Linked DNA regions of Caenorhabditis elegans. The protein of the gene in region 1 purifies or fractionates together with the protein of each later gene. This does not show direct contact. Each region holds a gene or a part of one and is shown on either strand. Other genes may lie near its edges.

Region 1 (16,581 bases):
AAAAATTATGATCTACGAAACATTTGCCGTCTATGGACACTGATAAAGCAGTAGTAAAACAAAAAAAACGACGGTAGATCTTGTTTAATTGGTCGGGGTTAGCAACGTACAAGTATCACAGTAGAAAGTTTTGTAAAATTTGATAGGCTGATAAAAATATGTATAATGCACTCAGAATTCTCAAATTGCAACTATATGTGTAGTGTTCTACATCTGAAATTGTTGTATAGCGTTTAGATAAATAGACACAAAACGAGAAAAAAAGTGAGAGCTGAAAGATCTAAAAACAAAAGTGGAGATAGAAGAAAAGAAAGATTAAGAGTTGTCTTGTCAAAAGGACGGATGCAAAATGGTTGGTCCGGCGTGTATAAACGTGTGTTGTTGGTTAAACATGTCAAAATAAAGAGACGAGTCGCCGAGTCGGAAATGAGTGAAGAGTTCGGAAGGGTTTGGAAGAGAAGAAGAAGGCATCATCATTCCTCTGATGATAATACTCCGGGTGAGGAAGAAGAAAATGAGAGCCAGAGTAACAGCAAAAATAATGGAACACGAGAAAGATAGTGGTGAATGAGGAGACCGACGATTTGCTGTCGGCGCAGGTGAGAGATGGTTCAAGAGAGAAGAAATCGGGATTTGTAAAAATCAGTCTAACTCCCCTCCTTTTTCTTTTCAACACGGCTCACGTTTGATGTGTTTTGATTATTAGATTGATGTGAGCCACACCCTGCAGCAAAACAAAAGAGCAGATGTGTTTCAAAAAGGTCGCTTGCATTTTGAGAGAGCAAAAAAAATACACCTGCCGAGAGATTGTTCAGGTGGTCTTTTTAGTTTCATAATGTGGATGAGTAAAATCTTCGATTTTCAGACACCTATCTTGCGATTTTTCATTCTTTATAAAATCATCGTTATATTGAAAAAAAATGTGTGAAATATAGTTTCGAATTTCAAAACTCTGGGAATCTTCATATTTAACAAGGGAGTCATGTTTAGTGTTCAGAACGTTAAAAATGTGCTATTCTTGTGTGGTCCTGTGCACACTAGATGTTTTATCTATGGTTTTATCTAAACGGCCTGTCTGCCGGTATAGTGTGTGACTTACATTCTTCCGGTTTGCTCTGTTATTCTCCCCTTTACTGTGTAGGAGGAGATTGTGAAACTGAGCGGTTGCCCTCTTGTATTCATCATTTTTTATATTTTATTCGCTCAATAATATTGTTATCTCCAATTATGCGGCTACAATAGCTTTGAAGACGTTTTTTAGTGAATTATCGAAAACTGGGCATTTTAACCAAAAAGTTGACACTTTTGTAGCCGTCTAACTTATTGGAAATTGTAGAAAAAGAAAAATATATAGTCACATAACAAAATGTTTTAAACATTTTAAAAGTGAACTTCCGAAATCTGAGACTTTGCATTTTTAGACTCAAAATGACTCAACAATACCAAATTTCGTAACGAGACGTTTTGAAAATTTTTCAATAAAAAGTTATGACAGTACAAAGATCGGGAAAAAAGGCTCATTTTCAGCTAATATCAAAATTTTTGCCAACTTCTCGGTGTCGTAAAGGAACTTGATTTTTATTTAATCATCACTCTTTAATTATTATTCTGATCGCTTATCCTTGATTTAGATACATTTTGGGTCAGTGAGGCACAAAAATGTAGTTTCTGAAAATGTAATCTGTGACACTGAGAAGGTGGCAAAAATATTTGATTTTTGCTAAAAAAAGGAGTCTTTTTCAAAAACTTTGAACCGCCATAACTGTTTTGGGTCATTTTAAGTCTAAAAAGCAGCAAGTCTCAGATTTCGGTATTGCACCTCTAATGATCATTATGGTTTTTTATTGTATGTGTCATTTGATTTACTTTTGCAGATATCTGATTTTTCAAATTTAGTCAAGAATGGCTCACTTGAACAAATCATGTTTTAGAAACGAACAAACAAATGAAGCTCAGTAGATTTATTATTCAATTTGTGTCAACGTGGAGAAAAAAGTTTATAGATACAATATTTAAATACAATCATTGAGTAAGAAGAACTTTTCTAACTTCATTATCAGAATCCGTCCATTCCACAACTTCAAGTCCCACCTTCTCATTGGTTTTTGGCATTGGCGGAGCTCGCAGTCCAACAATTCCCGTAACAAATTTAGATTCAGTAGGGTGCGGCTCAGATGTAGCAAGAGGCTCCGTCCCAGACCCTTCTCCAATTTCATTCAAATTGTTAGCACTTGTGCTTTGATCTACGGTCGGTTGCGTTACATTAGAGACGTTGGAAGTAACTTCATTGCTAACTTCCTGGAATGCTAAAAGTGTAACTGGCTTTACATCCTTTGCAGGTACTGTTGTTATAGGTTCTGGTGTAAGCGTAGTGGACGTTTTTGGAGAGGCTGTGGTAGTCGTCGTACTTTCTATTGCTGGACTATCGGAAGAAACTGGAGTTATTTCCGTAGTTGTCGCTTTTTCAGTAGTGGTTGATGTTTCTGGAGCTTCAGTAGTCTCACTTGATGTCGCAAAAAATTCAGAAGATGTGATCTCGTCTTTTTCTAATACTGAAGTCTCTGATGATGTGTTTTCAGTTGCACTTGTTGTGGATGGAATCGTGGATACATTCTCGATTGACGCTTCTTCTTTTTCTTCTTCTGTCCGCCCTGGTAGCAACTCCCCATTCCCCAAAGTTCCACGTTCTTCGGCACTTGTTAGTTCTTCCGATCCAGGAATAATTGTAGCAATTGGTAAAGTTGCACTTCCAAGACGTTCCAAAAATGTTGGATGTTTTCTATCTTCACCACTCTCAATTGACCCCACTGTTTCTGGCGTCACAAAAACTGTGGATCGTTCGAGGATTACAGGAGAAATAGTCGGCTTCGGTTGCATTGTTGCCAGATACTTTGGCCGAGCATAACTTCCTCCTTCACTGTAACTTGGCGGCGCTGTTGCATATCCGTTATTGCCTCCAGTGTTCTCAGAGATCCATGACGGTCGATTGTACAATGTCTGGTATTGGTTTTGGTTTGAATTCTGCCACGTCTGCTGATGTTGGTACCCGTAAAAGTATGGAGAATAGTAGTTTTGATTGTTCTGCAACAGTGAAGTAATCAAAAACCGTGAAGTGGGTTTTCAAAAAAACCTGATATTGAGACGACCACTGTTGCTGCGGCTGTGTCTCGTAATACTGCGCATTTCCGTAGTATGGTGACCCTGCCCAGCCATACTGTCGGCGGAACCTGAAATTTTATCAAATACAATCTGACAGGACCAACGTGAAATCTTTGGTTGTTTTTTTCTAATAGCTGATAAGATAAAGATAATATTATAGTATACAGTCATTTTTAACAAAGTGGCTGAAAACTTGTTGAAATTCAGACATAGAAAATTTTAGTTTTTTTTTTTCAAATACATAATATAAATTAGAAGACTATATCATATAAAAAAGTGACAGTATTGCAAGTGGGAAATTTGCCAAAAACCACTCCTACAATATTTGAAATGTTCTTATTGGCAGTCAGAAAGTGGCAATTATTGAGTTTTTGCCACTTTGTGAGAAGACTATAAAACTCTCGCATGTTCAAATCCCTACAATGTTTGAATATTACCATTTGCACGGGTTTCTGGTTCGACCCCTCGGTGTATTTTGTGCAAACACCGTCATGTGCAAATGCTTACACTTTTTCAACGCGCCGCGTGAAAATTCCTCTTGCGAATTCAATAAAAATTTCCCGCCATTTCGGTGTGCAATGGAGAGCGGGGTCGAGCCAGAACCTCGTGATTTGAAACAAAACTAAAAAAAACACCACTTCAAAAAATGTGACAAAAGCTGAGATTTTTCCAATTTTCAAAAAATCATATTAAGGTTTTTCAATAATTTCCCCACTGGCGCTACTTCATTTTTAAGATCAGAAAACTCACCGATTTGGAATATATTTAGATTCAGTAGAAATTGGAAAAATCGTAAAACATACAGTGAGAATTGCAACAAAGTTGGACATTTTTGTGAACTATTATGTACCTACAGGAGAGTCTAAACAAAATGGTGTCCAATTGAAAGACGGCAATTTCGGAGGGAGAAAATACGAAAAATACAACGCTCGTGTCAAGGTTATGTTACAGATTAAGTGTCGCCAAGTCATCCGCTTACCATCTCGGATTTATATCATTCATCCCCTTGTCCTTCATTCCGGTATGACTCATTCTCGCTCCACAAGACACATACACACACATTTGGTGAACTGACCAACTCGAAGAAGGATGAAAGTGACCACCCGTCGCCCACGCATTGATTGGATGAAAACATCGGCAGTGATATGATATGACAAAAAGATGATGTAGTGTTCGACGACTACGACTGATAACGCCTTTCTAACAATTTGATATAAAAATGTGATCGAGTTACCTAAAATTCAAATCTCACTTTCATTTGTTTCTAAAAAAATGACTTCTCTCCTAAAATCTCTTAGTATTCTTGCCCTCGTCGCATTTGCCAATGCCGGAATTCTGAACAGGTATATTTCCACTTTTCACAATTAAAGACTTTATCATCTTAAGGGTGAAACGTGGATCATATGGTGCTCCAAGCAACTATTCCCCACCAGAAAGTCAATATGGGCACAATGGAGGTGGTGGCTACGGAAGGCCAAGTGGTTATGGACAACCTGGAGGTGGGTATGGTAGACCTCAACAATATGGGCAAGGTGGATACCAGCAAGGAGGAAACTATCCAAACAGCGGGTTCCAACAGGGAGGATTTCAAGGCCAGTCTGGCGGATTCCAAGGGCAAAATGGAGGATTCCAAGGTCAAGGTCAATTCCAGGGAGACCAATCCGGGTTCGGACAACAAGGAGGATCACAGACCGGGTTCCAAGCATCACCTCCAGTTCCAGCTATGCCGCAACCTGGAGCAGGTAGTTCAAATGTCGGACCAGACTACTCACCTGTAGGGCAAACTGCGCCAGTTGCTTCTCCAGGAGCCGGTGGATTGTTTGGTGGTGGATCAGCTAGTACTGGCTTCGATGATCCAGCTTTTGCAGCTGATGCTAAGCCTGAAAAATCAACGACCGATACTATCACAGAGACGTCGGTTACTGGATCAAGAAAATGAAGATTTAAGTGTTTCTCACTGTGATATATGGACTTTGTACATACTTTTTAGAAATAAAATATATTTCTGTGTATTAAAGATTCTTGTCTTGATTTTGTAACAAATACAAATATCATTTAGATTAATTAATAGTCTATACTTATAGTGCCAAAAAGATCAAATATTATAGTGAAATTAATCAAAATGTTGTTCACAATATTGCTGATTTCTTTTTCAGATCCCCTAAAATTTTCAACAGAAGTTTGACTGGAGATATAGCGGTGGACATCTCACGGGTCTACTTTTAGATGATTTTTTTTTAAACCTCTGTAGCTTTGGAACAAAAAAAACTTTTCATAGGAACAGTTCTAATGATAAAATACTTTGAATAAACATATTTTTAAAATAACTACATATTTTAAAACACTTCATTTATTTGCATCATGGCATATTTTCAACTACTAAGAAATAGGGGCTAAGACTTCAATCAACTTGTGCAAAGAATGGCGAGAAAAAAAATTGTGAGAACCTATGGAAGCTTAGTAAAAAGAGACAATTTAGACGAGCAAAGATTTAATATAGACCATGAGAACATTTACAATACCGAGTAAGTGTAACACACAAAAAAAAGTATTATGACAGACAGAAAAAAGTAGTCGCTATGGAGACATCAAAACTTTTCAGAACATGTGTGAGTCGGCGCTTTCTTCTTCAACAGATTCCAAAATTGCAGAACTTTCAACGGTCGAACGATGACGAGCGAGAACACGGAGAAGTGGACGCAGAGCCATCCACCTGAAATTTTTAAATTGAAATTTATCGCAGAATGTGTCCAGGAGCGTTCATTGTCATTAGAGCGCGCTTACTAACAACTAACAAATTCTCGAATACGCGGGAATCAGCTTCCACAGGAAATCAGTTTTTGAAAACATATTTTTTGGGTTCTACGGAAATTATTGTCAAATTTTTAATTTACATTATTGCTGACTATGAGGAACATTAAGCGAATGGCAAACATGTAAAATTGGGCTCTTACGGCCGAGAACGAAAGTTTTTTTTTTAAACAGTCATCACAGAAATTATAAACAATTCATATCCGGCGGTGATTAACTTCATGATTTTTGAAATTACACAGTTATAAAGATCTACGTGATTTTTTCAAATTTTAAATGTTGAGAACTAATCAAATCAATAAGTAATCAAGGGATTTCATGAATATGCATCTTCTCTACAAAATGATCAACCAAATACCGGCCTAAAATCGAAAAACTGACTGTTATGATACAGTTTCCAAAATTTCCTAAATTTACACACTTTCGATTTGTATATCGAAAATGTTTAACAAATCATAACAATAATATAAATCGGAAAAAAAATCTTCTAAAGGAGCCAAAAACTAGCCAAAGAAACTGATTTTTGATAGAAACAAATTACCGCGCGAGTTTGTAAGATGTCAGAAAGTGCGCTCTAACGCTAGAGGAAATCGTGCTCCACGAGTATTGCATATAGCCCTTAAACTTATGGTTTAGATATTTAACAAGAATACAGACATGCTGTATTCCATTATGTTATTTTTAGTCTAGAGATTGAATAGTTTTTTCTACAAACTACTTGTCCACTAACCATTGCTCTGATGGAAGACGATGCTCAAAATCGGTCTCCTTCTTGAGATCTTGCACCGGCGTGAACACCACCTTTCGTCCTTTGAGTCCAAGAAGCGTCGCAGTATGGGCTGACTTGGCGATCACCTTGTTATCGGCCGTCAAATTTTCCTTGAGCTGAATGAGCAAAAACTCCAAAGCACGAGCGGCCAGCTTGGTTCCCATATTTCTGTCGAACGGCGTTGGAGATCCACCCTGTTGAACATGTCCGAGAACATTGACTCTTGTGGTGAAGTTCTTCTTTCCTTCAGAATCAAAAAGATTCTGCACAAAATCTGTGGTGAGGTTCTTGTCGGCCCACTCATTTCTGACAACCAAGTAGCGTTTCGCTCCAACTTCCATCTTTGAGAGAATCACATCAACATCATCGGAGAGGTCTTGAACGGTGAATGGCTCTTCAAAAATGTACGCATTATCCGCACCGGAGCTCAACGCAGAAAGAGTGGCAAGGTAACCACAGTATCCTCCCATTGTTTCGACAATGAAAACTCTTCTCTTGGTACCAGTGGCAGATTGCTTGATTTTGTCGATCATCTGGCAAATCTCATTGATCGCGGTATCGGATCCGAGAGACACCATAGTTCCTAAAATTAGAAATGTATTGTTTAAAAACCTTATATAATGAAAAACAAACCTGGAACATTGTTCGAGATGGTGCATGGGATGACACACATTGGAATGCAAAACTCGGGATACTTTTCGCGATTTTCAGCAAGAATTATTGTGCTGTGATACGCTTCAAATCCTCCAACAAGCAATAACGCTTGAATATTGTGCTTCTTCAGTTGAGCAGCAAGTTGAGGCATAGTTTTCTCAGTTGGAAGACTTTTCTGTGTGCCAAGGAACGATCCTCCGTTCATTGCCCAGTTAGTAACATCGGACCACTTGAACTGTTTGAATGACCCATTGGCAAGTCCCTCAAAACTGTCTTCAATACCGTACACGGTACACTGATGGTAGAGAGCCATTCGAACATAAGAGCGGACGGCTGCATTCATTCCACCGGCTGGAGCGCCAACGTTGATTACAGCAACATTGAATTTGTGTCCTTCCGAAAGATTGTCCTTTTCGACGGTTCTCATCTTAGTCAGCAACTTGTACGTTTCAAGATTTCTCTGGAAACTGCGTCCACGAAGCATCACAGCCGTGGTCCAGTCCTTATCCGCCATTGCCTTCTGTACCATTTGAGTTCGTTCGACACACTTGAGAAGTGGCACACGGACCATAACATTTCCGTCAATTGAGATAACACAAGGTTCTGATTCCTGAAATAAAAAAAAATTATACTTCTTTTCTTTCAAGCAGGAATAACGGTTTGAACGGTGAAAGTGTAGACCCAAAATGTGCTCAAATAAACGAAAAAATTTGTAAATTTCGTTATGAAGCTTTGCAAAAAATGTTCAAACTTTTTTCTTTGACTGTACAAAATGTTAGAAAAAATAGTCTAAAATCTCTAATTCTGAGCTTTTTTCGGTGTCGAAGCTGCCTGAAATTGATTTTTTGAGCGCATTATTATCTTTTATTGCATTTACTAATTTTTGACATTTTTTGGTCACCTACCGGTTTTAAATATACCTTGACTAGGGCTTCCATGTGGCGCCGGTAAGGCGTCAGCGCCGGCTTCACGCCGCAAATCGCGCCACAGGTATAGTACGGCGCGGAACCCCCAAAGTGTCGACCGCTGCCATCTTTGCGAACTACGTTGCGCACACGTCAAATTTCTCTTTTCACGCCAAGCTGCGAAACAGCGGCAGACGGTGAAGGAGGTCCGGCGGGAGGCCCGTGGAGGCGCCAACGCCGCGCCTCTCTCACAAGGAAGCCCTAACCTTAACTATCAAAATAATATGAGATGAAGGAACAAAATTTACGACAAAGTTCGATAATCCAAAAAAGCCAACTTCGGGCCGCTGCGGCACTGAAAAAAACTACAATTAAGATTTTTGTTAATTTGAAAACATATTGGTTCATACGTTCAAACCATTAATGAAAAATTCACAGAAAATCCCAGAAACCTCAGTCATCTCCATGAGAGCAAAAACTGCTTCTGCTCCCATTCTACATCCAAGAAGTCGATCAAAAGCAGATGGAGCACCTCCGCGTTGAACATGTCCAAGAATTGTAACGCGTGTATCGTATTTCAGCTTCTCCTTGACAGCAGTCTTCACATCCTCGGCGGTGATAGCCTTTCCATCACGATCAATAGCTCCCTCGGCGACAATAATGATGTTAAGACGTTGACCCTCTGATCTCATTTGAGAAAGTTTGTCGCACAAGACGTCACGCCAATTTTCCGGTGCCGGCCATTCAGGAATGAAGCAGAAGTCGGCTTCGGAAGCTAGAGCAGCAACTAGAGCCAGATATCCACAATGGCGACCCATGACCTAGAGTAAAATAAGTATATGAATTATTTTCTTGATAAATTGAGATCACCTCAATAACAAAAGCCCTTTGATGACTTTGTGCAGTTGCGACTACAGCATCAATAGAACTGATAATTCTTTGAAGTGCCGAGTCGGTTCCAATCGTCATGTCGGTTCCACAAAAATCGTTGTCGATGGATCCGACAAGTCCGACAATTTGAATGTAAGGAATCTTTTTCGCAGCCGCCGCAGTGACTCGTTGATTTTTCACAAGTTCTTGCACAAGATCGGTCCACTCCAAACGGAAAGTGTTGGCTCCAGTGAGAGATCCATCTCCACCAATGCATACAAGACGACCAATTCCACGATTAATCAGGTTGGTGGCTGCCTGGAAATTTAATTTTAACTTTCAAAACTTTCAAAAATTTGTTTTATTGGGCTAATTATTTTCTCACCTTGAGACGCCCTTCACGAGTTCTGAATTCGGAAGATCTTGCGGAACCAATGATAGTTCCTCCTTGCTGAATAATATCGGAAACGGTGTTCCACGTGGCTTCCTTGATGAAATCTCCACCTTCAATCATTCCTTCGTATCCTTCGTAGATCAAATACACTTTACATCCACAGTATATAGCCATTCTTGTGATACTTCGAACAGCGCTGTTCATACCTGGAAAATAAAGTTTCAAACGTATTCTTACAAGGAAAAGTTTGAATTTTATTAAAAGTGAAATGAATTTTATATGGAGACTCCACACAAAATTTTCATGGCAGGTCAAAATTTCAAATTTTGCCCTAATTCATTCGTACCTTGAGAGTCTCCTCCGGACGTGTAAATCGCGAGAGTACGTCCCTTGAAAATATCCGACGCAATCTCAGTTCCTTCTCTTCCAGCAGTTGGGACGATTGAGTCGAAGCGGCGCAAAGCTCGCTGACGGATAAAGTCGAGCTCTTCTGGCGTGATTGTTGATGCGTCCGCGTCCATTTCGAATTATGCAAAATTCTGTAATTTATGACAATAGTATTTAACACGAAGGATGAGAAAAATGGGATGAGAAGAATGAAAAAATTTTGAGAAGAAAAGGATAAATCTGAGAACTGCAAGAGAAAAATGTTGACAAGCAAAAACTGATTAATCGATGCGGACAATGAATGCGCGTAATACAGTGTGGCAGGGACCATTGTGGTTAGAAAGTGCGCGACGCAGATACAACAAGGAAAACACAGAAACAAACAACTGCGCGCGGTCATATTACCCTGTGGAAGGTCAACTTTTAATTATTATTTTTATAGGAGGAGCATTGAGTGGTTCTGGACATTTTAAATTCAATGAATTTTGTAATGAAACTTCCAAATTTTTTTCAAAATTTTTTATGTCGGTTTGAAATTTTAAAAATTTAAAAATTCAAAAAAAAACCTATTTCAGCTAAAATCTCTAATTTTGTCCATTTTTTCGTGTTGCATCGGTCCGAAGAAATTAACTTTTTTTCAAATTATTATATTTAATGGCATAGCTTGACTTCATTTCGTTAATTAGGATACATCGTATTTTTTCTAATGTAGTATACATTGCACTCCATTACTCAACTTTGACAGCTTAAATCTCAGTTGGCGTTTGTTTTATTGAAAACTGATCAACTGAAAAAACACTTATTTTTATTTTTTTCTATATATTTGCAGTTGACAGTTTATTGATATTTTTTAAACGAACATAGATATATCCTTTTGGAGTAAAGTAATTGGATGATATACTATTAGAGGAAATACGTAATTTACAGCTGATAGGTAACCTAAAATAAAAAAAAATAGGTCACCTATCGGCTTTAACTGTACTATAATCAAAAAAAAAACAAGAGATGAACGACCAAATATGCAACAGAGGATTGAAAAATCAAAAAAAAAGTATTGCCAAAATTGAAGATTTTAACTAAAATTAGGCCATGTTTTTTCGAAATTTTGAACCGCCATAAAAGTTTATTGAATTAGTTTAATCCATTTGAGTAGATATTAAGTTTAAACGTTCAAAATAATACCGAAACTTCAACAAACAAACGTTTTATTTAGTTCCTTTGGTATAAGAAAACAATGAATGATGCCAAGTGAGAAGTGATAGTGATTGAAATGGAGAGAGAAAAGATGCAGAGTAAATAATGAGTGTGACGAACGCATGGGAAAAAAGAAAAGTAGAAAAAAGCCAAAAATAAAAGGTTTCGACTTTGAAATATGCTATGGCAAGTACACATGATGCAATACACGAAAGAAGCCCCTAGAGGGGGGATGCACTTTTGATCTTGACGCAGGGGACCCAGACAACTGAATGTATTTATACAACAGAAACAAAACATGAAAACCAAAATTGTGAATTACATTTTCCTATCAAATCGACTGGATTGAATGAATGATTGGTGTGTTTTCTTCTTCTTCACTTTTTCAGCCTTCAGCAAGGGAAAAAAACTAAGCAGCCAGAAGCAAAGTGCGAGAGAATATGCGTAACACGGAGAAAGAGATCGAGAGAAGACAACGCAAAAAAAACGAAAGCGCGGCCCTTCTGCCTTGCCCCTCGTTTCTCCAACTGCTCAATGTTTTCGACGTGCCAAAACGCATTTTGGATTGAGAAGGAAGAAAACGTAAGGGCCGGGGAGAGAGCACAAAGATTTGATTTCTTATCCGTCATGTCATTTGTGTCTAGTTATCAAAAATAAATCAATTTAAAACATGAATAGAGCTAGTGGAAAAATTTAAAAAAAAAACACGCCTACGGTACCACAATGGACAAATATCATAAAAGAAAGTTTCAAAAAAATTTTCTAATTTTTTTTCCAATTTTCAAAAAATCAAAAAATCAATTGAAACTTTAAAAAATTACCATAACATTTGGTCACTGTAGCGTGTGTTAAAGAAATTTCCTCACTGACTCTACTCCTTAAAATTTGAAAAAAGAGACTACGCAGGGAACTAATACAATGTTGATTGTTAATGCGAGTAAACAGTAAGTTGAAAAAGTAAACACTGCCCTCAGGTTTTTGGGATTCATAACCAACAGTGCGAAACGGCCAAGTGGCAAGTTGTTGTTCAAAACTTTTCAATTGATATTGGAAAACACTCACAAAAACATTTACAAACTTTGTTTTTGGATGTTTGTTCAGAATTCCCGGCCCAAAAATATAGCCTTAAAAACGCTAATGCTAACTTAATATGGACAAAAATGGTCACATAAAATTTGCAAAAAGATTAATTTTTTTTTTGGCCAGGTACACAAGTACTGTTCTTGATACATAGACAAAATATCGCAAAATAAGCTCACATAAAAAATAATTATGATAACGTTTTTTTGTCTACATGGCAAGTTGTGAGAAATTCGAAAGAGAATAGTTAAGTGATTTTTGGTACATTTAATAATGTAAAAATTTGCCTGTTTTCTCTTACTATTAATAGAACTTTTTTGAACTGTACAAAATGTTTCAAAAAGTTAAAATTCTTCAACAGTTTTTTAAAATATGTATCAATAAAGTTGTTTTAATTTAGGTTGTTGCAAAGATTCTCCGAAAGATATGTCATACATATACATATAGTAGAGGGCAAGGGTGTGCGGCAAATTTGCCGAATTTGCCGTTTGCCGAGAAAAAATTTGCCGAATTTGCCGTTTGCCGCGCTCGCCATGTTTGCCGAAAAAAAATTTGCCGAATTTGCCGAACTCGGCAAACTTCGAAATTTGCAGCACACATCAAAAGTTGGGCAATACTATTTTGACCAAAATTATTGATTATTTGCCCAAAAATTTTGTAAAATGACACAATGTGTGTTAAGAATTCAGTAGTATTGGTTCTCCAAAAACATCAAATTTTTCGGAGTTTGTTAAGCACGGCAAATTTGCCGAATTCGTCGAACTTAGTACATTTTCCTTTTCATAATTTCATCAAAAGATATGAATTCTAAAAATAACACGCATTTTAAAATATCACGCACTCACATCGAGCAAAAGTACTCTCATCTTTTCCTACTAACCATTGACGAGAAAACGAGAAGAGCCACCGATGTTGTTTTTTTTTTCTATTTGCGAATGTTTACTAGTCTCCACTGTGATTGTGGTTAGCCATGAAACAAAACTGATAGGAAAAATAAATATTTAAAGTGGAACTGACCATTATTTATTGTCAAACATAAAATGAATAACGAGAAAAAAACTGGTCTTTCGCTCATAACAAGTAGAAAACAAACTTGGAGGTGATTGAAGATGGAAGATTTGGTGAAAAAAATTGCAGTATTAAAAAAAAAGATATAAAGCGTTGTCGGAAATAGGCATGTGTAAATTTTAAAAGAGGAGTAACGGTTATGGGTTTTTTTTTTGAAACGTATATACCCAAAATGTGCTCCTTGAACAAATTCCGCAATGAGTTCAAAAATGTTTTAAATATTTTTTATCGTGCTTCAAAATTTCCATAAAAAATGTTTGGCTTCTATTCCGTGTCACATTTTTCGTTAATTCAAAAGTTTAATTTCAGGCCAAAATTAGAGATTTTCGCTAAATTTGAGTCAAAATTTTGAACCGCCATAAAAAATTTTTGGAAAAAATACGAGAAGTGTCATATATTTTATTTATTCGTTCAAAACACCCAGAACCGTTACTCCTCCTTTAAGCGGAGAATAACAATGAAAAAAAGTTATTGTTGATGAGAGAGTGCGTATCACAATCAACAGACACACTATCGACCTTGATATTTTGAAACAATATAACGATTGTATGTCTGATTTTTGATTCTGATCCTATCAATTTTTAAAGATAAAAAAATCACACAAAAAAAAAGAAAAATAAATTTGAATGACGTCATTGAAAAGATTCTAGCTTTTTTGAAGATACCGAGAATAATCCGACGTTTGTGTGTAATCTTTCAATGATTTCAGAGGAATATGCCGTCTGAAACTGACTTCAGTGTATGTATATGTTGCCAACATAGCACCGAACCATGTCAGATATTGAGTAGTCTTCTTCCATTTTCTTCCAATTGTAGAGATAAATCCTGCGTAAACTATTGCTGCAATTACTTGGCGTCGAATGCGCATTCTGAAATAATATTATTCAGCATAACTTTTCAATATTGAATAATATCACTGACTTCAAAAGATGTGCTCTCGATCTGTTAAGATTCTCCAGATTTTCTTTCAAAAGGAACTTCTTGATACCCATTACATAATCGAATAAATACGAGTTCCAATCCACTTGGCGAACATCAAAGTTGTACTCCTTTTGATCTGCGGGTGTCATTTTCTCAAAGAATTCTGGCAGTCCACGTGCATTGAAACTCCATCCGCGAGTCGTGAAAAAGTGTAGAGTTTCAATCATTTTCCACACTTTCGAATACAGCTTCACATTGCTGATAAGAAATTTATGTAGGTCTTGTTCTCCGTCGTTTATGACTTACTTTTTTCGCTTTCCTATAAGACGAGCAGAAATATCTGAGATGGCAGCAGGTATATGATGCTTGATATAATAGTTTATAAGGAATAGTGAACGTGATTTGTGGAAATATGTGGATGGAACTGCGAAGCATTGCTCCATGGGATACTGAAAATATATTTAAAAAAAACATTAGAGTACTATTTAAAAGGGGAGTAGAGTTTGTGGGTATTTAGTTAAAATTGACTAAAACTGGCCAAAATTGACCAAATTTCAAAATGAGATTTCTCAAAAAAAATTTTTGACAAATAGTTTTATGAAGGCTCAAAATGTTGGAAAAAAAAGACTAATTTTGCTAAATTCTAAAATTTCGTTAACTTTTCTACGTGGTAGTAGCTTGAATGCCGTTTAAAAAATGTTTGCCGTCTATTTTGGGCCTTTTTTTTTTTCAAAATCGTCCAAACCGTTAGTCCTCCTTTAATGCATATTTTGGTAGTTCATCTAATGAAAGAAATCTGCGAATTTTTATATTTTAGCAAAATTTGGTTCTATTTTGATATTATTATTATTTACCCGCCATAAAAATTTTTGGAAATTTTTTTGTGAAGTCTCATTATGAAGACGTTTTGAACCAGTTTAAGTCTATTTAAGCTAAATACTTATAACCAGTACTCCTCCTTTAATGGAGATATTATTATATAAAACTCTGACTAACCTTTTTGTAGAATTGCTCCAAAAATAAAACAATATGACCCCAATAGAGAGGGTTCAATTCACCAGATGAACAGTGGATCACAGGAATTTCTGTCGTGCTGAAACAAAAAACAAAATTTTAAACAATTCACAGTTTGTTTAAAACTATTCTCACTTGATCGATGTTCTATATGAAGCTGACGCAATTATCATGTTAGCCACAATATCAACGGGAATAATATCAGCTTTTGATTCACTGCTCCCACACATGTTTGTCAAAACACCTCTTCCTACAGCAGCAAAGATTCCAGTCGGCCCATTGATATTGTCAGTCCATCCTGGAAGCGGTCCTTGCCACATTGCTCCTACAATCGAAGGACGAATGATAATGACTGGAATATCCTTTGCTTCGGTTTCGATTGTGGACTCTGCTAAAGCTTTGGTCAGAGTGTAGGTGTTTGGACGGAGGCCAAGTATTTTAGGTGTAATCTGAAAATGTTAAATATCGGGTAACTTTGGTAATATCAATAACGCAAAAAGAATTATTTTCATTTTAAATAGGATTTCTGAATTTTGTTGTTGAATTTTTACACTTTCAACATTTTTCAATTAATCTCCTTTTTTTCTATGAATATCAAAATAAAGTAGGGGTGGCAATGAGTTTTTTTTGTTCCGCATCGATATTTCTGAAAATCTGGGAATTTATGGTATCAACCACATTACCTGTGATGTGACGGTACTTTCAAATAAATATGTCGACTCCAGGTATTCTAGCTCGGAGCCGCTTTTTTAGGCTTCCACTCGATCTTGGTTTTTTGAAACTTTATTTTTAGATTTATGCGCGGCTCTCGCTCGATTTAGTGTATAATGTGATTGTATAACAATAAAAATCGAAAAAAAAATTAGTTTTAAAAAAGTTAAAAAAATTGCTTTGTCTATTTTTTAATCTATTTTTCGAATACATTTTTCGACAAATCTGTCCTCTTTCCTTGTACCGTGTATTCTCTATTCTCTATTAGAGCGGCATGCCGCACTAATTTCCCGGCCCTTCGTGACGTGCGCTCTATTAGAGACTGCCGTTCTACTGGATACTGCCGCACTAATTTTCGATAACTAATTTTCATATTGAAGTTACTACTTTTGGGAGTAGTAACCTCAAAATTTCTTTATAAAACCTCATATTTTATGGAAAAATTCATGAAAATTGGGTAATTTTGCCTCACAAAGACACTAAAATTCAATATTTAAATGAAAATTTATAAATTCATTCAAGAATGAACAAAAATATCTTCGAAGAAATCGAATAATTGATGTGGCTCTTGCACCCAAAAAAAGGGGTGCCGCACTAATAGAGACTGCCGCTCTAATTTTCGAAGAGCCAGTTAGAGTGCCGCT
Region 2 (15,603 bases), on another chromosome or scaffold:
ATGTATGTACCGATGAAAATCTGGAAAAAATTGGTTTAAATTTCAAATTTTATGTGAAAAAACTCGATTTTTAGCCCCGAAAACTGTATTTTTCACATTTTTTCACCTAAAATTCAAAAAAAAAATTTTTTTGTAGATCACAGAAGTGTTGAATTTCGCGGTTCGTCAAGTTTCGGAAATCGAAGCGAATATTGTGTCAGTTGAACGTGTAAATGAGTACACTAACACTCCAAATGAGGCTCCATGGAGAATTGAAGGCCGTGAGCCTGCTCCAGGATGGCCGAGCCGTGGAGTTGTGAAATTTGATGGATATTCGACAAGATATCGTGAAGGCTTGGATCTCGTACTTCATGATATTTCAGCTGATGTGGCTGCTGGAGAAAAGATTGGAATTGTTGGAAGAACTGGAGCGGGTAGGTAGGGAGAAAATCTGGAAATTTTTGACTGAAAATACCAAAAAATTCGGATTTTTTGACCCAAAATTCAATTAAAAATTGGTCGAAAATTGGCCTAAATCAAAAAATCAAAAAAATTGTCAAAATTTTAAGTCAATTTCCACGAAAATTGGCTTTTCGAACCAAAACCCCCTTAAATCCAAAATTAATAACAGGAATCCGGTGGCATGATGGTGGGTAGGTTGCAGATGTTGTAATTGTGATTTGTGATGCAAAAATGTATTGAAATTTTAAATTTCCCCCCAAAAAGTGACTGAAAATTTGAATTTCCCGCCGAAAATTGACTGAAAATTTGAATTTCCCGCCAAAAATTGACTGAAAATTTGAATTTCCCGCCGAAAATTGACTGAAAATTTGAATTTCCCGCCAAAAATTGACTGAAAATTTGAATTTCCCGCCAAAAATTGACTGAAAATTTGAATTTCCCGCCAAAAATTGACTGAAAATTTGAATTTCCCGCCGAAAATTGACTGAAAATTTGAATTTCTCGCCAAAAATTGACAGAAAATTTGAATTTCCCCCCAAAAATTGACAGAAAATTTGAATTTCCCCCCAAAAATTGACACAAAAAATAAGGGTAAAGTGGGCGGAGCCTATTCTACAGTACCCATCCGAAAAAAAAAACAATTTTTTTCTTATTATACATTCGTAAAATTTTTGAACCACTTTTTGACGAATGTGTAATATTAAAATTGTTTTTTTAAAGTTTTTTTCCGATATTGTAATAATTTATTTTTTTAATCAAAAAATTTGAAAATATTGGGTTTAAAGTGGGCGGAGCCAAGTCTACAGTACTCTTGAAAATGGTATTATTTAGGCAAACGTATAATATCCCAAATTATTTGAATTGTTTTCCGATAAAAAGTGGGCGGCGGAGCCTAAATACATCTGAAATTTGATTTTTTTTTGGGGTACTGTAGAATAGACTCCGCCCCCCACTTTCTTCCTGTTTTTTAAAAATCAATTTTCGGCGGGAAATTCAAATTTTCAGTCAATTTTTGGCGAAAAATTCAAATTTTCTCACTGAATGCCCCCTAAAATCCCAATTTTCCAGGTAAATCCTCGTTCGCATTGGCCCTTTTCCGAATGATTGAAGCTGCCGGCGGTCGAATTGTGATCGATGACGTTGAAGTTTCTCAAATCGGGCTTCACGATCTTCGTTCTAACATTACAATTATTCCACAGGATCCTGTATTATTCTCAGGAACTCTTCGTTTCAATTTAGATCCATTCTTCACTTATTCCGATGATCAAATCTGGAGAGCTCTGGAACTTGCTCATTTGAAACATTTCGCTGCCGGTCTTCCAGACGGTCTTCTCTATAAAATCAGTGAAGCCGGCGAGAATCTGAGTGTTGGACAGCGGCAATTGGTCGCGCTGGCTCGGGCTCTACTCCGGCATACTCGGGTTTTAGTGTTGGATGAAGCGACGGCGGCTGTCGATGTGGCTACGGATGCTCTGATTCAGGAGACTATCCGAGAGGAGTTCAAAGAGTGTACAGTATTCACGATTGCGCATCGATTGAATACTATCATGGATTATGATAGGTACTACTGAATAAGACTGAAAATTTGAGAATTTTTGACTGAAAAATCTGGAAAATTGACCGTAAAATAGTAATTTTCGACCGAAATTTGGTCTGAAAATGCTTGAAATCGATTTTTGTCAAAAATCGATAACTTTACCATAAATCGAATCGATAACTTTACCATAAATCGATTTTTTTTCCTATTAAAATCGAGTTTTTAAAAAATTAATTTATCGATTTTTCAAATATCGAAAATTGTTCCATTTATCGATTTTTTTTGAAAATCGATAACCTTTACAATTATCGATTTTTAAAATCCTAAAATAATTCAATTTATTTGAAAATCCATAAATCTAATTTTTTTTGTGATTTTTCGAATTTTATAAAAATCTTATATTTTAATTTTTTCGAAAACTGAAAAAAAAAAACAATTTTTTTCAATTTTTTGAAAAGTCGATAAATCTAATTTTTATCGATTTATCGATTTTTATAAAAATCGGGAATTTTTCGATTTTTATTAGAATCGAAAAAAAAAATCGTTTTTCAATATTAAAAATTGAAAAAATTAGATTTATCGATTTTTCGAAAAAAAAATCGAAAAAAAATTTTTTTTTTTCCGATTTTCGATTTTTTATGAAAAAATGGAAAAAAATTAGATTTATAGATTTTTTCCAAAAACTCGAAAAATTAACCAAAAACTGACTGAAAACCGTGGAAATCGTAATTTTCGACATAAAAATTCGCCTTAAGATGCTTGAAATTCAAAGAAATTGACTTTAATTTTGATTTATCGATTTTTCTAGCAAAATCGAATTTTATCGATTTTTTAAAAATCGAAGATTGTTAAATTTATTGACTTTTTAAAAATTAGCATCGAAATTGAAACAAATAATTTTTTCAATTTTTATGAAAAATCGATAAATCTAAAAATTTTTTTGCGATTTATCGATTTCCCAAAAAATCGATAATTTTACTTCTTTAAAAAAAATCAAAAATTGAAAAAAAAATACTGATTTTTTTCGATTTTACCCCAAACTGCCTGAAGAAGTCCGTAAAAATCGCAATTTTCTACCAAAATTTTGTCTGAAAATGTCTGAAATTCTGATAAATTGAATTTAATTTCTTTGATTTATCGATTTTTTCTATTGAAATCGAATTTTTACGATTTATTGATTTAATAAAGTGGCTAAAAATGGAAATTTTTGTCTGAAAGTCAATAAAATTTTCAGAAAATGAATTAAAATCGAAATTTTTTTTGGAAAATATTTTAAAATCTTCAAAAAATTCCGCTGATATTGGGATTTTTTACCCAAAAAACTGGAATTTTTTGAAAAAAAAATTTTTTTTTGTTGGTATTCCCGATGAATATTCCAACGCAAACCCCCACATTTTACCTTTCATAAAACCCCGAAAAATCCCAAATTTCCAGAATAATGGTGCTCGATAAGGGTTCAATTCTGGAATTCGACACACCGGACGCCCTAATGGCCGACAAGAACAGCGCCTTCGCAAAAATGGTCGCCGACGCTGCGGAACAGGACAAACACGAGTGAAATTGACACAAATTGACACCCAAAAATTAATATTTTCAAAGCTTTAATTCATATTTATCCCCCAATTTTTACCCCCGAAAATTCCCGAAAAATGCTCAATTTTTTGGAAATTTCACGAAAAGTTTCACTTCTCACACAAAATGAAACCGGTGCTCTCCCTTTTTTTCTCTTTCAACTCATATTTTATTACCTATTACCCATTTTTTGTTGAAATTGTGTGATTTTTAGCCGTTTTCTGTTAAGTAGAAGAACAATAAATTGATTTTTTCGCGAAAAACATAGTATATTGCTAGATTTTCGACTATTTTGAGGGCCAACTAACTCTGTAAAAATTATTGACACTAGCGGGGACTCGAACCTAGGACCTATTTCACCATAGCCGTCCATGTACCCAGTTGAGCCACTTCCATCCTTTTTCAGAAATGCTGACTAAGGCTGGAATTTGAGTTTTTTATATATGTAGAATTTTACTAGAAACTAGGAAACTACATTTCCGGCTGGTTTGGAGCACCGGGAGCAGCTAGGAGCTCCGTGAGCAATTTTAGAAGTGAAATTCGAAAATTTCAAAATTTTTGATATGGGGGTCAAATCGATGCAGAATTTTACGCTGAACAACATTTCAGTTGGCAACTTTTTGATAACTCTTCTAGTTTTTCAGTTATTTGCGATTTAGTCGGAAAACTATTTGAAAAACCTGAAATTTGCGAAATTCAGCTGAAATTTCTGATGTTCTCCATTAAAACATCTGCCTGCATGTTGCATTACCCTGGAAAAATTATTGACACTAGCGGGGACTCGAACCCCTGGCTTTTTTCACCATAGCCGTCCATCTACCCAGTTGAGCCACTTTCACCATTTTTCAAAAATGCTGGCTAAAGCTGGAATTTAGGTGTCCCTGGTGTAGAATTTCACGGTTATTTTGAATATCAGATTTTCAGCCAGTTTGGTTCACCGGGAGCAGGTAGGAGCTCCGCGAGCAGTTTTAGGTGTCAAATTCGAAAATTACAAAATATTCTAAATGGGGGTCAATTCGGTGCAGAATTTTACGCTGAACAACATTTCAGTTGACACTTTTTTGATATCTACTCTAGTTTTCGAGTTATGCTTCGAAAAAGTCATAATTTTCATTAAAAAATAACTTTTTATTGCAAATTTCAACACACACACACACACACCATAAATAAGAGCAATAAATGTGACATTTTACAGTTTTAAAGAGTTAATCGAATTTTCCACTTCCAGAAGTGGCTGCATGAAGCCACTTGTCCACAGTATGAACGTCGTAAGAGGTGACGAATTTGACACGGCGATGGGTGTGCTGAAAATTGGTTTATTAAACAAAAAATTGATAATATCTAGATTTTGGACTGTCTGAGTGTTGTATATCTATTGTATATAACATTAAAAATACTAATAAACCCAAAGGGATTCGAACCCCTGACCTATTTCACAATAGCCTCATCAATCTACCCACCTGAGCCACTTCGCCCCATTTTCAAAATTGCTGGCTAAGGCTGGAATTCAACCGTACCTGATGTAGAATACTACGGGGAACCCAAAAATCATGTTTTAAATAAGTTTGGAACACCATGAGCAGCTAAAAGCTCCGTGAGCAATTTTGGGTATCGACCTTGAAAATTTGAAAATTTTTTATATGGGGGTCAAATCGATGCAGAATTTCACGCTGAACAACATTTCAGTTGGCAACTTTTTGATAACTCTTCTAGTTTCCGAGTTATGCCTCAAAAACTATACAGAACCCCAGATTTTTTGTTTTCACCTGATTCGGAGCTTCCTCATTCGACCACAGTTGCTCGGTCCAATCAACCACAACCTGCCCACGTGTCTTTGTTCCATTCAGCTCTACATCGACATACAGGTACTGAGACTTTTTTGCAATTTTATCCTCATCGATTGCAGTAGCCACAGCGATCTCGTCGCAGTAGGAGTATTGGCGGCCGTTGGCCTCGCATTTTACGCGGCCTGGAACATACAAATCGAATTTAGGAACTCTAAAAAAAAAATGTACTTGTTGACTAATCTACAGACCTTCGAACTCTAAAAAAATTATTGACACACTAGCGGGGCCTCGAGAAGCCCGGACCTATTTCACCAAAGCCGTACATGTACCCAGTTGAGCCACTTCGACCCCTTTACAAAACTGCTGGCTAAGGCTGGAAGTTGAGTTTTCTGGGTGTAGGATTTTGCGGGTTATCCGAAAAACGAAATTTCAATACGTTTGAAGCATTGGGAAAGGCTAGGAGCTCCGCGAGCAATTTTAAGTGTCAAATTCGAAAATTTGAAAATTATCGACATGGGGGTCAAATCAATGCAGAATTTTACGCTGAACAACTTTCCAATTGACAGTTTTTTTTTGGTATCTAGTATCTACCCTAGTTTTCGAGTTATAACTTTAAAAAACCTTACCAATGCTGGTGGCCAGCGATAAGTAATTAGCCAATGGGGTTCCATACTTCAAATGAGCCGAAAAATCAACTGAAGCATCATGGGTCTTTGATTCAAAATAGAATGCCTCCCATGGAACAATGGTGATGGGACACTTCATACGTCGGAGCACAATGCTCGCGGCTTCCGGGTCTCCGTGGAAGTTGTACTCGGCTGAGGAACCTGGAAAAATTAGGGGGGCTTTTTGGGGTTTGACGGGTCTGTATCTCCGTCGGTTTTGGGTTTGTCAACAAATTGTTAACTGATGAAATGTTTGTTACATGTTTCTGAACAGGTTTATAGTTGAAACTTTTCTAATATCTCAAAAATGAAACGAGATATGGCCCGCCAAAGTGGTCCACCCTAGTTTTTTTTTTGAAGAACCTACCTCCATCAACATTTCCGACCGCGTAATAATTTCCTCCCATGATTACCAGCCGGGATGGGTACGTCGAAAACTCCTCGCAGAGTTGGAGAGCAATCGCCACGTTTGTGAGGGGACCGATGGTTCTGAAAAATGGTTTTGTTGAAAATTTAGGGAAAATTGAGCAAAAATAGATTAAAATCGAAATTTGACACCCAGAATAGCTCGGCGTAGGCGAAAATGTAGGAGGACTGTATGGATACTGTAGGAGTACCGTAGGACTTTAAAAGGGTAATGTTGAGGTACTATAGGGGTAATGTAGGGGTACTGTAGGAGTACTGTAGGGGTACTGAAGCGGTACTGTAGGGTTTCTGTAGGGGGTCTATTGGGGTAGGGTAGGGAAACTGTCCAGGTACCAGGGATACTGTAGGGGTACTGTAGAAATACTGTAGGTATACAGTTATGGTACCATAGGGCTTTAGTGGAATTAGTGTAGGGTTACTGTAGGGTTACTGTGTGTGTACTGTGGGGGGAACAGTAGGGGTACTGTAACACTATTGTGTGAGTACCTGTTCGGTTACCAGAGGTACTGTAGGGTTATGTAGGGGATCTGTTGGGGTACTGTCGGGGTACTATAGGGTTACTGTAGAGTTGCTGTAGGGATACTGTAGTGTTACTGCAAGGGCACAGTGGGGAACTGTGGGGATACAGTAACACTACTGCGTGAATACTAGAGGGGAACTGTCCGGGGTACCAGGGATAGTGCAGGGGTACTGTGGGGTACTGTAGGGATAGTGCAGGGGTACTGTGGGGTACTGTAGGGATAGTGCAAGGGTACTGTAGGTCGCTGTGGGGGTACTGTAGGGGTACTGTAGGGATGCGGTGGGGGTACAGAAGGGTTACTGTAGCCTCAACTTACACCAAAGTGGCATCCCGATTCTCTCTCAAAATATCGATTAAAGCAAGTGACGCATGCTTCCCCTCCCCCTCAAAATCGGATCTTTCGACTTTCGGGAACTCCTCCGGCTTATCACCGATCCCATCGATCCCGAAAAAATCGGATACGGTATCATCCTTCGGCAGCGACAAAATCGATTTAGCCGCACCCTTGTACACTGGGATATTGCTCCGATCGTTGGCTCGGATGGTTCTTTTGATGTTCGCACAGGCTTGATCTACTGTCACACAGCCGTGGACTGCGGTGAATGCGAGAATTTCGGCTTTTGGGTGCTGCAAGGCTAGGGAGATGGCTCGCACGTCGTCGCTTACACCGTCAGAGTCTGAAAATCGATTAATTTTTGTTTTTAAAGCTTAAAATTTGGTAAACTTTATGTAAAACTTTAAAAATCGATAAAACTCGCTAAGCAAGCGCGCTCCAGTGAACTAGTCCGTTTTCCGACGCTAATTTCAAATTTTCAAGTGTTTTTTGACGAAAATAAGTGGAAAATTTGAAGACTTCTTGTTTTTTTTTAAATTAGAATTCTCGTTTATCATCTGAAAATCCGAAAAAATCGATTATTGAAGCGTCTAGACTCGTTTTTTTAAATCGCCAAGCAATGCAATCACGCTCCAATGACAAACTCAGTTTTCTGGCGGGAAGCTCGAATTTTCCAGTGTTTTAACGAAAATCTTCGGAATTAATACGTTTTCGGTGTATTTGAACGTAGAAAAGTAGAAATTTTAAAAAAGAAAAGAAAAAACTCGAGTTTTAACGAATTTTATAGAATTTTTTACTCAAAAATTGGTTTAAATTTGTTTTTATTCTCCGTTTAACTCACCAATGACCAGCTTAACCTTGTCCACAGTCATGTTGTCTTTTTTCTGAAGAGCGTAATGTTATTAAAGTGAAAAAATTAAACTTAAAATAACTAAATAAATATATGAATTATTTCTCGTCGCAAAAAACGCAACATTTGGGCAAAAATCAATCTGTCACCTGAATAATGCACACAATCTTATCATTTTTTATCAATTCTTATCGCATTTTCTTCGATTATTCTCGCTTTTTCGCCGTAATTCCGCATAAATGCGATAATTCGCGAAAAAACTACGGTTTTTCTTAAAGGCGCATAGCTCAAAACTTCAAATAGGTCTCGCCACGAATTCAGTGATGTGAGGGATTCGATGGAATTTTGAATTTTTAAAATCGATTTTTGCGATTTCTAGACGGTTTTTCGCCGTTTTTTCGGAGATTTTTGACGAAAAATGGAGAATTTCGACGGAAAATCGATGCCGCCAACTCCGGTGCCAATCGGATCAAGTCAGGTAGGGCAAAAATCCGGAAAAATCGATACAATTCACAAAAAATCCGAATTTTTTCCAGTTCTACCGCTGGATGCCGCACCCGATCGTCGATACACCACCGTCAGATGCTACGTGGCGCAAACCGGTGCCACGCGGCCGAATTCGTGATCTCGTCGCCGCGTTCGATCAGTGCTCCGGCATGCTGGAGCAGAAGCCCCCACCTCCGCCCACGCAAAGGGTTGAAAGTCTTGAAAATGGTGCGGAAATCAATCGATAATTGAGAAAATCGATAGGGGAATGCGAAAAAACTGGAAAAAAATGGGGAAAATTGAGAAAAATTGAGGAAAATGAGAAAAAAAAACCATTTCCCCCGGTATTTCTCCTATTCAAATGCAAATTTATAAATTCACATGTATTGTTAATTTATTTGCACTGTCAACACACCAACTATACAGTTTTTACATGGAAAATTGATTTTTTAGAAAAAACAATCGGAAAATCCCAAAAGTTTTGGGAAAAATCCAGAAAAAATGGGATTTTTCGCAAGTTTTCGGATGAAAATTATGGTTTAAATTGAATTTTGAGTGGAAATTTGCAAAATTGGACTTTTTCAGAGAAAATAGTTATAATTTGCAAAAAACTAATTTTTAGAAATTTTTTTTTCCAAAAATTCAAAAAAATTTTTTTTTTCAAAATTTTCATTTTAATTGGCAATTTACCATTGAGTTTCTGGTGAATTTCGAAAATTTTCTCTAAAAAATCCTGAAAAAACGGAAAAACCTCTGGAAAATTCTAAATTTCCAGCAAAACCACCAAAATTGTCGGATTTTGTGTTAAAATTCTGTAATTTTCGGTGGAAAAATCGCTAAAATTTAGAATTTTGTGATTTTAAGCTAATTTTAAGGAATATTGTGAAAAAAATTAAATTTTTTAAGAATTAAAAAAAATTTCAAAAAATTTTTTTTTTTTTCAAAAATTAAAAAAAAATTTTTTTTCGAAATATTCACTTTTTATTGGGAATTTTACGAATTTTGAGCGAATTTTAAAAAAATTCCAAAAAACGATAATTTTTTTGCAAAAAAAATTTTTTTTCGAAAAAAAAATTCAAGTTTTTCCAACTTTTCACATTTTTCTCAAAAATGATCTTCAAAATTCGAAATTTCCCGCCAAAAATAACCCATTTTTCTTCCAGAACACATTGCTCCACCGCCAACTTCAAAATCCTCCAAAATTCCGGAAATTCTCGCCAAAAAATCGGAAAAATACATCTCACCGTACGAAAAACGTCATTTTCATGGTCGTCGTGGCACCCAGGCTGTCGTTTTTAATTCGAATAATGCTCAAAATGCTCCAAATGTGGGCGGAGCCTATCCATATGGAGCCACACCGTTGAAATTGCGAAATTTGGCCCAAAAAATGGATAAAGAGGAGCTCTACGTGGCTGATGACGTTGGAATTTCCAAAAAATCTGAAAATTTCGAAAATTCCGATGATGACGTGGCAAAGTACGAAAATTTGCGGCAAAAATGCTATAAATTCGAAAAAAATTCAAATTTTGTAGCCATTTTTGACATTTTTCCTTTAAAAAAAAATCTAAAATGTCCAAAAAAAAGCCGCGAAATTCAAATTTTTAATTTTTTCCTATAAAAATCGAAAATTTGCAGAAATTTTTGAGGTTTTTGAGACAATTTTTTGAATTGCCCAACTTTTTTTTGTTAAAATATCGAATTTTAAGTAAAAAACTACCGAAAATTCGACTTTCTCGCCTAAGAAGGGGCGGAGCCGCGCAGGCCACGCCCACAAAATGGTTATTAGCGATTTTTCGGCAAAAATTGCGAAAAAATCAATTAAAAAAAATCAATTCGGATTTTCAGTCAAAAATTTTCTAATATTCGATATTCTTGCCTGAAAAGAGGGCGGAGCCTAACAGGCCACGCCCACCAAATGGACGGAGCTTATTTTCTAAATACTAAAAAAAAACAAAAATTACAGCAAAAAAAACAAATTGAAATTTCAAAATTTCAAAAAAAAAGAGGGCGGAGCCTAACAGGCCACGCCCACCAAATGGGTGGAGCTTGTTATCTAAATACTAAAAAAAAAAAAAAAATTTGCAGGAAAAAACACAAATTGACACTTCAAAATTTCAAAAAAAAAAAGGCGGAGCCTAACAGGCCACGCCCACAAAACGGTTATGAGCTATTTTCGCTCAAATTTTGTAATTTTCAGTCAAATGTTCCCTAAAAATCGATATTCTGGAGCCCACAAAATGGCGACGAGCATATTTTCGTCAAAAATCGGTAAAAAATCGATATTTTTTGCAGTTTCCAAGAGCTTCTGGTGCTGGATGAGGTGCTGGAAAATGCTGAAAATTCTGAAAATCTGGAATCCCAGCAGTACGACGAGGAGAGCACCCTAAACCGAACATTTCAAGATTCTGGAGTTCCAGAAAATCAGGAAAATCTTCTCCAGCTCCCTGAGTGCCCAAAAACGCCGAAATTCACGAGTTCGCCCACGCTTTTCACACCGTATGCCGCTGGAGAGCCCATCGTTGAATATCGATGCTCGTCGGGCTCCGCGGGGGGTCCACTCAAAATTGTTGTGAAGAAGCTTCAGGCACCGATTGCACTTGCCACTTCGACACCGAAACCCGCAATGTGTCGGCCGCCGAAACACTCGGAACCACCACCGGCTTTTCAGGTGGATTATATCTGAGATTTTTGGCGGGTTTTTCAGTGAAAAAATTGAGAAAATCCCCGTTTGGAAAAAAGATTTTTAGTGGTTTTTGTGAAAAATCGAATTTTTCTCAAAAATTTGGAAAAAAATCTATTGAAAAATCGATTTTTTTTTTCGAAAATTTCGTAAAAAATCCATTTTTTCGAAAAAAACCAATTCAAAATTTCAAAAAAAAAGGGTTTTCTCTCCAAATTGTAAAAAAATCGATTTTTCTTTGAAAATTTTCTTCGAAAAAAAAAAGTTTTATTATATTTCGTTTAAAAAAATCGATTTTTTATTGTAGAATTCCGTAAAAAAATGGAATTTTTCGAAAAAATCAGTGAATTGTTTTTTGTTTTTTAACGAAGAAATTTCTAAAAAAAAATCGTTTTTTTCGAGAAAAATTTCATTTAAAAATCGATAATTTTGAAAAATTTCGATTCAAAAAACGTTTTTTCAAAAAAATTTCTTTAAAAATCAATTTTTTGAACTAAAATTTTGTAAAATTTCGTAAAAAATCGATTTTTTTACATCAATTTTTTGCGCAGGATTCCTTCGTGAGCTCAATCAGTAACTGGTCGGCAGTAGATCATCACGCGACGGATTCGCGCCGTCAAATGAACCGCCTACTCAATTCAATCGATGAAACTCGACATCACATTTTGCTCGCCGAGCACTCACTACTTGAAGCCCAAAAATCGAAATGTCCAATGCAAGAACTCGCGTCGCAACGGGTTTTGCTAATTTGTAGAGAACGGTTGAAAGTTCAATTGGAAGAAGTTCGGAGGCTTCAGGCAATGACTGTTGTCAGGCATCCACCACCACCGATTAATCGACATTTTAAATCGACTATGGTCATTTCGAATATTTCGCTTCAGTTTAATAAGCATTTCCATAGTCGTACGTGGTTTTTGAGTCTAAATTCGAGATTTTTGGGCCAAAATTGACTAAAAATTTGAATTTCCCGCCAAAATTTGACTGAAAATTTGAATTTTTGAATTTCCCGCCAAAAATTGACTGAAAATTTGAATTTTTGAATTTCCCGCCAAAAATTGACTGAAAATTTGAATTTTTGAATTTCCCGCCAAAAATTGATCACATGTTCGGTAGAGCGCACTTCGAAATTCAGAATTAAATTAGCGCGCATTCTGCGTTTTTAGTTAAAAATTTGAAAAAATTTGTGGTTTTTTGACACAAAACTCCAAAACATTGAATTCCCGCCGAAAAAAAAAATTGATTTTCGGTGGAGCGCACTTGCTGCAAGTATGCTCTACCGAACATTGATCGGTTTTCAGCGGGAAATTCAAATTTCCAGTCAATTTTTGGTGGGAAATTCAAAAATTCAAATTTTCAGTCAATTTTTGGCGGGAAATTCCAAAATTCAAATTTCCAGTCAATTTTTGGCGGGAAATTCAAAAATTCAAATTTTCAGTCAATTTTTGGCGGGAAATTCCAAAATTCAAATTTCCAGTCAATTTTTGGCGGGAAATTCAAAATTTCTGTGTTTTCAGGCGGCTCTTACGCTTTCCTTGTGCTCCTCAAATGCCGTACAGAAGTCGAGGCAACCGGTGTCGTTACCCTTTTGGCTCAATTCCAAACTCCGCAAAATTTCATTCTTTTCGGTGAACACTTGCGTTTTTCCAATCTTCCCGTCGATTTTACCATTGGAATGGAGATTTATATGATGGTAATGCTTGACAACAGAAAATAAAAATTTTTGACTGTAGTGGGGGTCGAACCCCGGACTTCTGGGCCGTAGCCATACCTCTACCCAGTTGAGCCACTTGTACAAAAAATTTTTTTTTTTTCGAAAAGAAGTACCAAAGCTGAAAATCTGCGTAGAGTTCTAATTTTTGATTAAAACCGCTCAAAAAACATCGTAAAAAATCAGTTTTTGAAAATTTTAGCCAATAAAGTCAGTTTCAATCGGTTTTTACCAAGAAAAACATCGTAAAATGATTTAAAACTAATTAACCCACCACTGGAGAGTAGCAAAAAAAATTTTTGACCGCAGCGGGGATCGAACCCCGGACCTCTGGGCCAGAGTCTAACCTCTACCCCACTGAGCCACTGGTACACAAAAAAAAATTTTTTTCAAAAAAAAAGGCCCCCCGGCCTCAAATTTTTTACTGATTCTGAATTTTTAGGTGTCTTACCACACGAATAGATACAAATACCTCAAAAATCTGGAATTTTCAGCGAGTTCCCGAGCACCGACCACCTGAGAAGACGTGCGCCGCGTTTTTGGCACAAAAAGTGCGGAATTTGCTGGTGCCGAGCAATGGTAATTTGGAAATTTTATTTGTTTTAGGAAATAAGGATGAAATTCCAAAAAAAAAAAAAAAATTTTTTTTCAAAAATTTCAAATTCCAGCCGCTCACCGCCGCCCGACTACCTCCACGCCACAAAAATCGATACAAAATGCCACGTCACCTGCGTGTGACTTCCAACTTTGCGGAAATTTAACGTTGGACCGCGATTCGTCGGGCGATAACCGCCGCTTCTATTTGGATGACGTCATTTATCCGCTGGAGGGAACTGTGAAGCTCAATTCACACTGCACATCACTTCCTGATGCAATTGATATGGAATATCGAGGATTTCTTCATATTTTACACGATTCTGCAAGTCCTTTGGAGAGGTACTTGGAAATTGACTGAAAATTTGAATTCCCCGCCAAAAATTGACTAGAAATTTGAATTTCCCGCCGAAAAATGACTGAAAATTTACATTTTTGAATTTCCCGCCAAAAATTGACTGAAAATTTGAATTTTTGGAATTTCCCGCCAAAAATTGACTAAAAATTTGAATTTTTGAATTTCCCGCCAAAAATTGACTGAAAATTTGAATTTTTGGAATTTCCCGCCAAAAATTGACTAAAAATTTGAATTTTTGAATTTCCCGCCAAAATTTGACTGAAAATTTGAATTTTTGAATTTCCCGCCAAAAATTGACTGAAAATTTGAATTTTTGGAATTTCCCGCCAAACATTGACTGAAAATTTGAATTTTTGAATTTCCCGCCGAAAAGTGACTGAAAATTTGAATTTTTGAATTTCCCGCCGAAAAACCACCTAAAAATTCCAATTTTCAGAGCAAAAAAAGTCCCAATTTGGCACAAATACTGGTCACTTCTTCATCGCGGAGCCATTTTGTTCTGGAGCACTCCACAAGAGGAAGTTCACGAAAAAGTCCCAATTTTCCAGATTGATTTGACAAAATGCACGAATAATTCGATTGAGGAGAGCCGTGAAATGAGCCAAGGAGCCGAGCACGAATTTCATATCGAGTTGCTCATCGATCAGGACCCTGATTTGATTGAAAAACGACGGTAGAGCACTGAAAAAATATATGAAAAAAAATTTTGACCACCGCGTGGGGTCGAACCCGAGACCCTCTGCGCCATAGCCAAGCCTCTACCCAGTTGCACCACTTGTGCAACAAAAAAAAATTTTGAAAAAAAAAACCAATGCGTCAAATTTTGCGTAGAATTCAGTTTTTCATATGGTTTCACACGAAAATTCATCAGAATTTGAAACGTTTGTGTTGGCTTAATTTGTAAAATTTCGAAAAAAATCGATTTTTGTTAGATTTTCACCCACCTCACAACTTTCAAGTTCTAGAAAAATCACTAACAAAAAATTATGACCACCGCGGGGGTCGAACCCGAGACCCTCTGCTCCAAAGCTAAACCTCTACCCAGTTGCGCCACTTGTACACCAAATTTTTTTTTGAAAAAAAAATAGCTCGAGTGGCCATATTCGGTGTAGAATTCAGTTTTCATATGCTTTTACATAAAAATTACCAGAATTCGAAACATTTGTGGATTATTTGAAAAAAATCGACAATTTTTAGAGAAACGCTTCGAAATTCCTAGTTTCTGGTAAATTTTCATCCACCTCACAACTTTCAAGTTCTAGAAAAATCACTAACAAAAAATTATGACCACCGCTGGGGTCGAACCCGGGACCCTCTGCTCCAAAGCTAATCCTCTAACCAGTTGAGCCACTTTTGCAAAAAAAAATTTGAAAAAAGTTTTTCATATGCTTTTACAAAAAAATAACTAGAATTCGAAACATTTGTGGATTAATTTGAAAAAATTCGAAAAAAAAATTCGATATTCAAAATTCCCAATTTCTGGTAAACGTTTACCCACCTCACAACTTTCAAGTTCTGGAAAAATGTTTATAAAAAATTTTGGCCACCGCGGGGGTCGAACCCGGGACCCTCTGCGCCATAGCCCAACCTCTACCCAGTTGAGCCACTTGCACACAAATTTTTTTGTCGAAAAAATAGCTCTGGT

Evidence for each region.
Region 2: the proteins of pfk-1.1 (region 1) and Y43F8C.13 fractionate together in Caenorhabditis elegans (co-fractionation; one large-scale study listed by BioGRID). This does not show direct contact.

What each region holds. Positions count from the first base shown.
Region 1 is NC_003284.9:2,934,392-2,950,972, reverse strand, and holds pfk-1.1 (ATP-dependent 6-phosphofructokinase 1), read right to left. Parts: upstream 10,102-16,581; 5' UTR 10,084-10,101; coding exon 9,909-10,083; intron 9,769-9,908; coding exon 9,554-9,768; intron 9,487-9,553; coding exon 9,169-9,486; intron 9,120-9,168; coding exon 8,751-9,119; intron 8,004-8,750; coding exon 7,373-8,003; intron 7,323-7,372; coding exon 6,701-7,322; exon of another isoform or gene 5,873-6,700; coding exon 5,758-5,872; 3' UTR 5,495-5,757; downstream 1-5,494. Other genes in the region: Y41G9A.5 (Prion-like-(Q/N-rich)-domain-bearing protein), read right to left, coding at 2,023-3,081, 3,131-3,227, 3,910-3,989; Y41G9A.10 (Prion-like-(Q/N-rich)-domain-bearing protein), read left to right, coding at 4,432-4,502, 4,546-5,098; fard-1 (Fatty acyl-CoA reductase), read right to left, coding at 13,938-14,160, 14,213-14,470, 14,519-14,661, 15,209-15,305, 15,362-15,675. UniProt on the Caenorhabditis elegans protein: Catalyzes the phosphorylation of D-fructose 6-phosphate to fructose 1,6-bisphosphate by ATP, the first committing step of glycolysis.
Region 2 is NC_003283.11:19,689,233-19,704,835, forward strand, and holds Y43F8C.13 (Nucleoside hydrolase), read right to left. Parts: upstream 8,167-15,603; 5' UTR 8,155-8,166; coding exon 8,124-8,154; intron 7,626-8,123; coding exon 7,265-7,625; intron 6,492-7,264; coding exon 6,370-6,491; intron 6,165-6,369; coding exon 5,964-6,164; intron 5,520-5,963; coding exon 5,317-5,519; intron 4,855-5,316; coding exon 4,756-4,854; 3' UTR 4,668-4,755; downstream 1-4,667. Other genes in the region: Multidrug resistance protein mrp-7, read left to right, coding at 1-2, 137-413, 1,510-2,002, 3,413-3,536; ani-3 (Anillin-like protein 3), read left to right, coding at 8,551-8,610, 8,669-8,846, 9,782-10,094, 10,911-11,286, 11,850-12,201, 12,813-12,988, 13,501-13,585, 13,675-13,942 and 1 more.